2 linked regions of the Oryzias latipes genome follow. The protein of the gene in region 1 purifies or fractionates together with the protein of each later gene. This does not show direct contact. Links are inferred from orthologs where the notes say so. Each region holds a gene or a part of one and is shown on either strand. Other genes may lie near its edges. The genes, in order: traf7 and map3k3.

Region 1 (3,920 bases):
TTTGTTTTTTTTAAAACAGTGCACTTTATAATCTAGAGCAGTGTTTTTCAACTTTTTTTGAGCCACGGCACACTTTAACCTTGACAAAAATCCCGCGGCACAACAGCATCCAAAAAAAAAGGAAAAAAGAAAAACTGGGAAAAGCTCATAGTCTGGATTAATCTACAGTCCCTCCATAATCTCACATGCATTTTTGTGATAATTATGGCAGAAAAAGCTGGAAGCTGCAGCTGTTTTTTTTAAAGATGTAATAAAAGTTGAGTTAAAAGATTTAAAAACTGTTTGATGTGTCTTTGTTGTAGTTTTAAGACGTTAAGAGGAGAGACTCATTGTGCGCTAAGACACTGTCACTTTAACCCAATGCATCATGGGAGATGTAGTGCAAAAATATCGACCGACCGCAGACAGACAAGCGTCTCTGAGCTTCATTGTTTTGTTCACTTTTACCACGGTCTGACACCGGATTCTGTGGAAAGCTACACCGCTAAAGACGAGCTTTAGCTGGTATTTTTGTTAGAACTGAGAGACTTATGAGCTAAATCGAAACAAAGAAGTGAAGACTTTAACCACTTCTGATTGGTCAGACTGATGATTTGTGATTAAGACTCCAAGAATGATTGGTGGAGACAGTTAAAGGGGCGGGACTTTTCCAAAAACAGAGCTGAAGCTGCGGCTAAATCGCGGTACCGTCAATCTTATCAAAATGTCTTTAATACAATCAAATAAACACAAAGAAAAAAATGTTTTACGATCTTTCATATTCCTAATTTCTCAGTGTTTTATCAGGGCCTGTTTGGATGAACACAGAGCTGATATCCTGGAGATGGAAAATGTTTTTAGATCAGTTAATGAGAGTAATTTCCCACGGCACACTTGACCGTCTCCCACGACACACTAGTGTGCCGCGGCACACTGGTTGAAAAACACTGGTCTAGAGCACCTTATGTGTGGATTAATTCTGGTTGTGTTTACTGATGGAGAAGTGGCTCTGAGAAGAACATACCGCTCTGTCAACATGTTTGGATGGTGTTGGGATTACGCTAACGTGGCTAACGCTAACAACTTCTAGAGTTACTGTGAACGCACTTAATAAAGTCTGACTGACTGACTGATACACTTATCTCTTAATCTTTTGTCTCCTCTAATGCCTCTTTTAGTTCAGTGCGCCTCATGTTCTTGAAATTGTTGGCTTTTACCAAAACCTTTGTCAAAACTTCTTTACATAATCCAGCAAAAAAACAGTATACAGGGATCCCTCGCTATAACGCGGTTTACTTTTCACGGTTTTGCTACTTCATGGATTTGCATCGTGCATTGTGTTCCGCATTCTGATTGGCTAAAAAGTCCCTCCACGACTTCTCTACCTGTGCGTCAATAACGTTGCAGTTTAATATGTACACGTACGTAAAACAGCGTGCCAAACGCCGGATTTTGCCTATCACGGGTTCTTTTTGGAACGTAACCCCCGCGAAAAAGAAGGCTTTACTGTATAGGAAAAATTAATGAGAATCTTAAAAAAAATAAGCATCAAACTGCGTTTCGTAGTATTTATTAATTAAAATGATTGTCAGGAGCAGAAGGAAAAAATGCAGTTTGATTGTATTTGTGCTCCGCTCCATTCCGATGCATCCACTTGTTTTCCTCGTCTAAGCAGGAATCTGGCACAAAACTGGACTGTAGGGCTAGGCGACATGGCAGTAGATTTAAATCTCGTCTACAGCGAGAAACAGGCAGGCTGACCTTACTCCGAACAATGGAAACCCAAGGAAGCAGAGCGCTGGGAGAATACAATCTAGACTTCCCAAACATGAATCTTTTTAAACAAAAAAAACCTACTTTAACAATAAAAATGGATCTAATGCACTACTGATGTTAGGTTGGGGGGTGTGCTGGGCTGTAAGCTAGCGGGGAAGCATGTGAACGGAGAGCTCTCAGCAACGGGGAAGGGAAGGGGGGCAGGGTTGCTTTGCAAAATGGTCTGGCCCACAACTCAGAGGTGAATTTCTAATGAACTCCAACCGCTCTGCTGAAACTATGTCCAACAAAACGACACAGGCATTGACGTTTTAGTCTAACAACGGCATATTCGTAAATTAAACACTGCTGGGAACCCTTTGAAAATAGATCAAAAGAAGGTCAGAGTGGGAATTTTAATGTTTTATTCAAATGAACCGCATTTTTGGGAAGTTAGTCCCACAAACTGGAGGTGCAGGAGGTGCCCTCTGCCCCGCACAGCGCCTCCGTGTGCCGCCGCAACAAGCCCGCAAAGGAGAAGAAGCTCGAGCCAGCAGAAAGGGGGCGGAACGCAGCCAAAGTTCGCTGCTTTCCGGTGAATATGTCCGAATAAATGTTAAAACTTAACACATAAAACTACTCACCCGCGCGGAAAAAAGGAAATGAGACCACCTCGCTGGGTTATGTTTATATGATTGTCGTCTTTTCAAACATTATTCTCAACAATCTAAAGAATTTGCTAGCTTAAGTTAGCTAATTTCCCTGTCTTAATTAGCATCACTCCTTCTAGCAGCCTTCAGCGAACGCTGCTAAGTACAACCGGATAATTTGGACTGTTTTCTAACTGGATCAACAAGTTTTTTAAAACGGTCGACGGGGAAAAGGGTCAAAAACTTACATTTTGTTTCGCCTGCATTACTCCATGTCTGTGGATGAATTCTTCCTCTTTTCCTCTCGTTACCAACCATTGAGGAAGCAGTGTATTCTGGGATGTGTAGTACGTACAAGGTGATGTCACTGCTCTTATGTTTAGTTATGGACTACACTCCCCAAAGTCCACTTGTGAAAGGTAAATTCCAAAGTAAAAACTGCACAGAATAGTATTGCCAAATACTTTTATTACGTTGTTGTTAGCTCTTGCTGAAGGCGAGCTGACAGATCAGAAGAACTAGAATTTGTCAGAAGAACTCAACAAGTTTTACTTCGAAAGCTCAGCACTTGTAATGTTACGTGTTTTTAGTTTAATTTTTTTAGAGGGGTGGTTCTTGCTGAGGCTAATGCTGGAACTAACCAACGTCGCGGAGGAGCTGGAAGATCAAGTGTTGCCACTATGTTATTACAAAATTAACTTTTTTTGGGTCCCATTTTTATTTTTGCAATTAACCAAAAATGTTATTTAGGAAAACTTGAATGAAAAAGTTCGGGCGAGTTTGAAGGGAAAAAGGCTAGTTAGGAAAAAGTGGGACACAGAACAGACAGGGACACGCAGCACAAGGTGTGACCATATAAAGACTCCCTTTGACCTCCCCAGTTTAATTTGCTTTGAAATGTTAAAAAAAAAAAACTGTAGATGAAAGTGTATCTTACTCATCTACAGGAGGAGCAGAGGAGTCCTATTTTCTCATGTATTGCATACTTACAATGTCTTTTCATGAATGTACCAAATCCCACCATTGTCCTAACATGACATAAAGGTAACTGGAACAAACTCAGAACAAAGCCAGTGTTATCTAATGATAATATGATGATATCTGATGAAACAGGAGACCCTGGTCTAAGCTCACCCTGCTTGATACAGATAAAGTCAGACGGTAGTACATATTTATTTACAAACTTTAGAAAAGTAAATGAGTGAGAGTGAGCGTTTTCAGTTATGGATAATGGGAAGGGGAGCAGGGATGTTCTGCACCAACAGTCCCGCCCCCAATCAGAGGAGAATCTCTAATGAACAAAGCAAGTCTTAAGCATTCCTTACATGATGTGAATTTGGGAATAGCCACCAAGTGTTTTACTTACTACCAAGTAGGCCAAGGTAAAGAACGTCTGGTCAAGGCTATATTAAACTTTTCCGCTCTGACCTCAAGGCTTGAGTAGCACCAGGTTCTTGAAATTGTCGGTTTTTACCAAAACCTTTGTCAAAACTTCTCTACAGCGGTCTGTCTCTGGACCACCCTGCTCAGCCCTAA
Region 2 (3,820 bases), about 19 Mb from region 1:
GCGCCAAATTAAGAAATGAGAAGTCATCCTATTGGTGAGCTTGAGAGTTTCTTGTAGTTTGTTGTCCTTGGATTAAACCAAGCGATGGGAATTCTGTGTTTCCGCTGTAGGTTAAGCCAAACGACACACGCTCTTTGCTTCGTATTTCCTTTTTCTCTGTCCGGAACCAGCTCCCTCACCGAACCGTCTCCAAAAAGGCAAATGCTTGTTTCTTGAATTGTAAACCCCATTTCCCCTGAAACGGATCGTTTTCTCCACTCTTCACATAAACTCAGTCACCCCAGTTGTTTTGAGTGGAACTGGGATCTCCTAAATGGTCTTTTGTGAGAAGCATCTTTAGTAAAAGCGATATATTGTACAGGAATGTCCTCATCCTCTGATTTCTCTCCCTCAGGATGATGTGAGGATAAAGTTTGAGTTCTCAGGGGAGAGGAGGTGAGTTTATTTGAGTTTTGTTTACACGGATGATGCATCCAAATGCAGTCCATGCACTCCTGAGAGATGTAAACACACAGGCATGCCGTTCTGGTCACACGTTCCAGCTCATGAGAGCGAGCGCACACTCCTGCAGTGAAACCAGATCGGTATGCGAGCTGCAGAAGGAAGAGGGAAAGGACTGTGGTTAGCATGCGGCTGCCAGCGCACACCACAAATATTTAAGGTGTACTTGAAAGAATCTGAACCCACCGAAAAGTGCAGCATGTGTGTTTTGCTTGCACGTGTGCATGTAATTCAAATGGCGTTTCCTCAGCAGCTGGTACAAATCTGCCATAATCTGTGGGAATTCTGCTCTTTTCATGCAGGATCCTGATGTTTGAAAGGCCTGTGCAGTTTGAGGAAATTCAGCAAAAAGTCAAGAGCGTGTTTGGTCAGCTGCTGGACCTGTATTATGTGAACAATGAGGTAAAGTGCTTTTCAGCATGTTCTCCGGCACTTTGGATTGTCTTTCACTTCTCCAAGCGCTCCACGTTCCTGTAAATTTGTCGTGTTTGCAAATGAGGCTGTCTTTTAGAAAACCAGTTAATCCAAAAACGTGGATGCTTAAAGGGACAAATAAAGAGAAAAAGGACATAAAATAAGAAGATGAAAAAAATACCGGGGCAAAGGAGTTGAGATGATGCAAAAACTAGACTCATGGAAGCTTCTTTTATTTGAAACTGGGTTAATGTAAGCAACCGCTCCTCATTTATGTATTCCATATTTTATCTAATTTGATCTCATTGTTTATCAGAGTGTTTTGGTGTCAAATATATCAATTTGTTGTCTTCATTAGAAAACTTATTTGTGCTGCTAAAAAACACAGTCATTTCTTTAAAAAATGAATTTCCCCTTCTAAAAAATAGGTTTCAAAGTATCATTTATTTGCAAATTATCTTTAAAGACAAGTACATCTAAAGGTTGAACCAATTGGTTGTTTTTTGTGCATGTTTTAAACCTTCGTTTTTATTCAATTGTTTGTGCTTTGTTAAATTCTTAAAGTTTTTACATGTGAATAAAAGATTTTTCTCGCTAAAAGGGTTCCTAGCATCTAAATTCTGATCAATTTTAACAGCGTTCCCAGAGTTTTTTAATGAGTAAGGATCAGTGAACTAGTGAACGACTAGTGATTTATTAAAAAGGAAGGGGTCCGGAGCAACCCCACCCCCATTCCCCTCCCTGTTGCTGAGAGCTCTCTGTTTACACGCGCTCTTGCTGGCTTACAGCCCTTCACACCTCCACTCTAACATTACCGGTGCAACAAAAGTGTCGAGCATTATTGTAGCGATCCAGTTTTGAGCCAGTTGGCAGCTCAGATGAGGAAAACGACGGAGCTTGTGGCCCACCTGCTGTGTTTTTTACGTTTTCAATTGGCGTTTTTTTTTTAATCATCTGCTCCTTTTTCACACCAATTAGAATAAAGAAATACTCAGAAATACAAATTTGAGGTTAATTCTTTTTATATGTGTCCATCATCAGGAAAATGCCATAAAAACACAATTTTCTGCCTCGTTTTATGAATTTTGTGTACAGATGCTTGTTTGTTTTATGAGTTTGCCTCCTTGGGTTGTTTCTTTGCAGATGTCCATTCCTTTAAGAGGTCAGGACGACTTGGACAAGGCCGTCGACTTGCTGGACCGAAGTTCCAACATGAAAAGCATCAGGATCCTGCTGCTCACTCAGGAGCACAGACATGTAAGACAGACTGGCCGTACGGTTGCAACACGCCGTTGCACCAACACCGTTTCTTCAGCACAAAGCCGCATTGTGTAAAAACACCACGCCTCTAATTCCCATCATCGTGATACTGTTGAGTCACACATGGAAGCTGGTTTTATCCCTGCGTCCTCCACAGGCCACCTCTCCCTCCCATCATGCACCTTGCAAGCAGGTGAGGATCAAGTCCTCCCAGTCCACTGGAGATGTCAGCACGTTGTACCAATCCTCTGAACCTAGGGGGCGCCACTTATCAACCGGTACATTCTCTTGAATACCTGTTTACCATCAATTCAAAGGGACTAATGTTGGTTGAATTAATCAAAGTTGTAGTTGTTTTTATGTTCATTTTATCATTTTTATTGTCTGTGATGCAAATAAATTCTGGTTGCACTCTTTCTTTCCTTTATTGCATCAGATTTTCTTCCTTTTTTTCTTCACTGTTACACTAAATCGTAGCAAATAGTTTTTAGTGTTTGATTCTTTAAAACCAGAAGTGCTGTTTAAAAAAAACTCCAAACTTCATTTTCTCTATATTCTGAGACTTGATTCTTTTCAAACAAAGGCTTTCCAAAGCATTTAACTCTTGTCGGTCCTTTAAAAAAATGAAGAATATCACAGTCAATGAAATTCCCACTTTCAAGTGTCACCTACCAACGGAAAAGTAAAGATGGAATCTATTTTGATTATTACAACCCTTTAAATGATTTGAGTTTTAAGAAAAAACATTCAAATAATTAAATGAAGTTAATCAGACAAACCATTTTATTCAAGCTGTTTTAATGAAATAAATAATAATTCCTATTTAAATCCCCTAAAAGGTTTTCAGAATAAAGACTAAGTAATTGATTCAAATCTTTTTTTATTGGTCTCATATGTGTTTTGAGTGATACTCATAGTACCGTCTGTGATCCTTCAGGGTCTCAGAACACTGGGCGAAGTTCTCCACCTCCTGGATATGTGCCTGAACGCCAGCAGAGGATCGCCCGCCAAGGTTCATACACCAGCATAAACAGCGAGGGGGAGTTCATACCCGAGACCAGTGACCAGTGTGTAAGTCCCACTGTCCCTTGAAATGGAGTACAGTGGAAATTTCAGCCATTGAGGGTAGTTTTTAGAATGCAACTCCCACAATGACAATCGAGAGACGACTGTAAAATAGTTTTTGCTTTTATTGTGAAAGTTTGTTCATGGGAAAAAAATGTGTTGTTTTTTTTTCGTACCCTCGCTGACTGGCTGAGTGTCTGTTTCAGGCCCCTCACTCTCCCCCCTCTTTCCCCCTAGTCAGATTTGCATGTGACAAATGGGGAATAAACAACACATTTTTGCAAAAAATGGCGGCTTTTCTGTTGGTTTCATCTTCATAGCAACCATTTTAGTTTTTTGGCTGCCTGGGGATGACAAACGGGTCTATGTCATTTCTGCCAAAGTAAACGTTGGAATTTCTTTGACAACAGAGATATATTTATCAACCATGACCACATTCCCCATATAGTCATATTGTATGCTATATCGTTTCATTGAGCTGGAGCCAGCGAGTCACGATTAAAATTTTCACAATATTCTGGTTAGAAAAAGTGTGCGAGCAACAGGGGAGCGGCACTTTTGCGAGCTCGCCATCTGAACA

The links.
Region 2: the proteins of traf7 (region 1) and map3k3 purify together in Homo sapiens (affinity purification with mass spectrometry; 5 studies listed by BioGRID and IntAct, with this or other methods). This does not show direct contact. The link is inferred for Oryzias latipes from reciprocal best matches to the Homo sapiens genes TRAF7 and MAP3K3.

The regions. Positions count from the first base shown.
Region 1 is NC_019866.2:23,005,004-23,008,923, reverse strand, and holds the start of traf7 (E3 ubiquitin-protein ligase TRAF7), read right to left. Parts: upstream 2,744-3,920; 5' UTR 2,633-2,743; intron 1-2,632. UniProt on the Homo sapiens protein: E3 ubiquitin and SUMO-protein ligase that plays a role in different biological processes such as innate immunity, inflammation or apoptosis. Potentiates MAP3K3-mediated activation of JUN/AP1 and DDIT3 transcriptional regulators.
Region 2 is NC_019866.2:4,128,590-4,132,409, reverse strand, and holds part of map3k3 (mitogen-activated protein kinase kinase kinase 3), read left to right. Parts: intron 1-394; coding exon 395-435; intron 436-803; coding exon 804-903; intron 904-2,058; coding exon 2,059-2,172; intron 2,173-2,332; coding exon 2,333-2,453; intron 2,454-3,112; coding exon 3,113-3,246; intron 3,247-3,820. UniProt on the Homo sapiens protein: Component of a protein kinase signal transduction cascade. Mediates activation of the NF-kappa-B, AP1 and DDIT3 transcriptional regulators.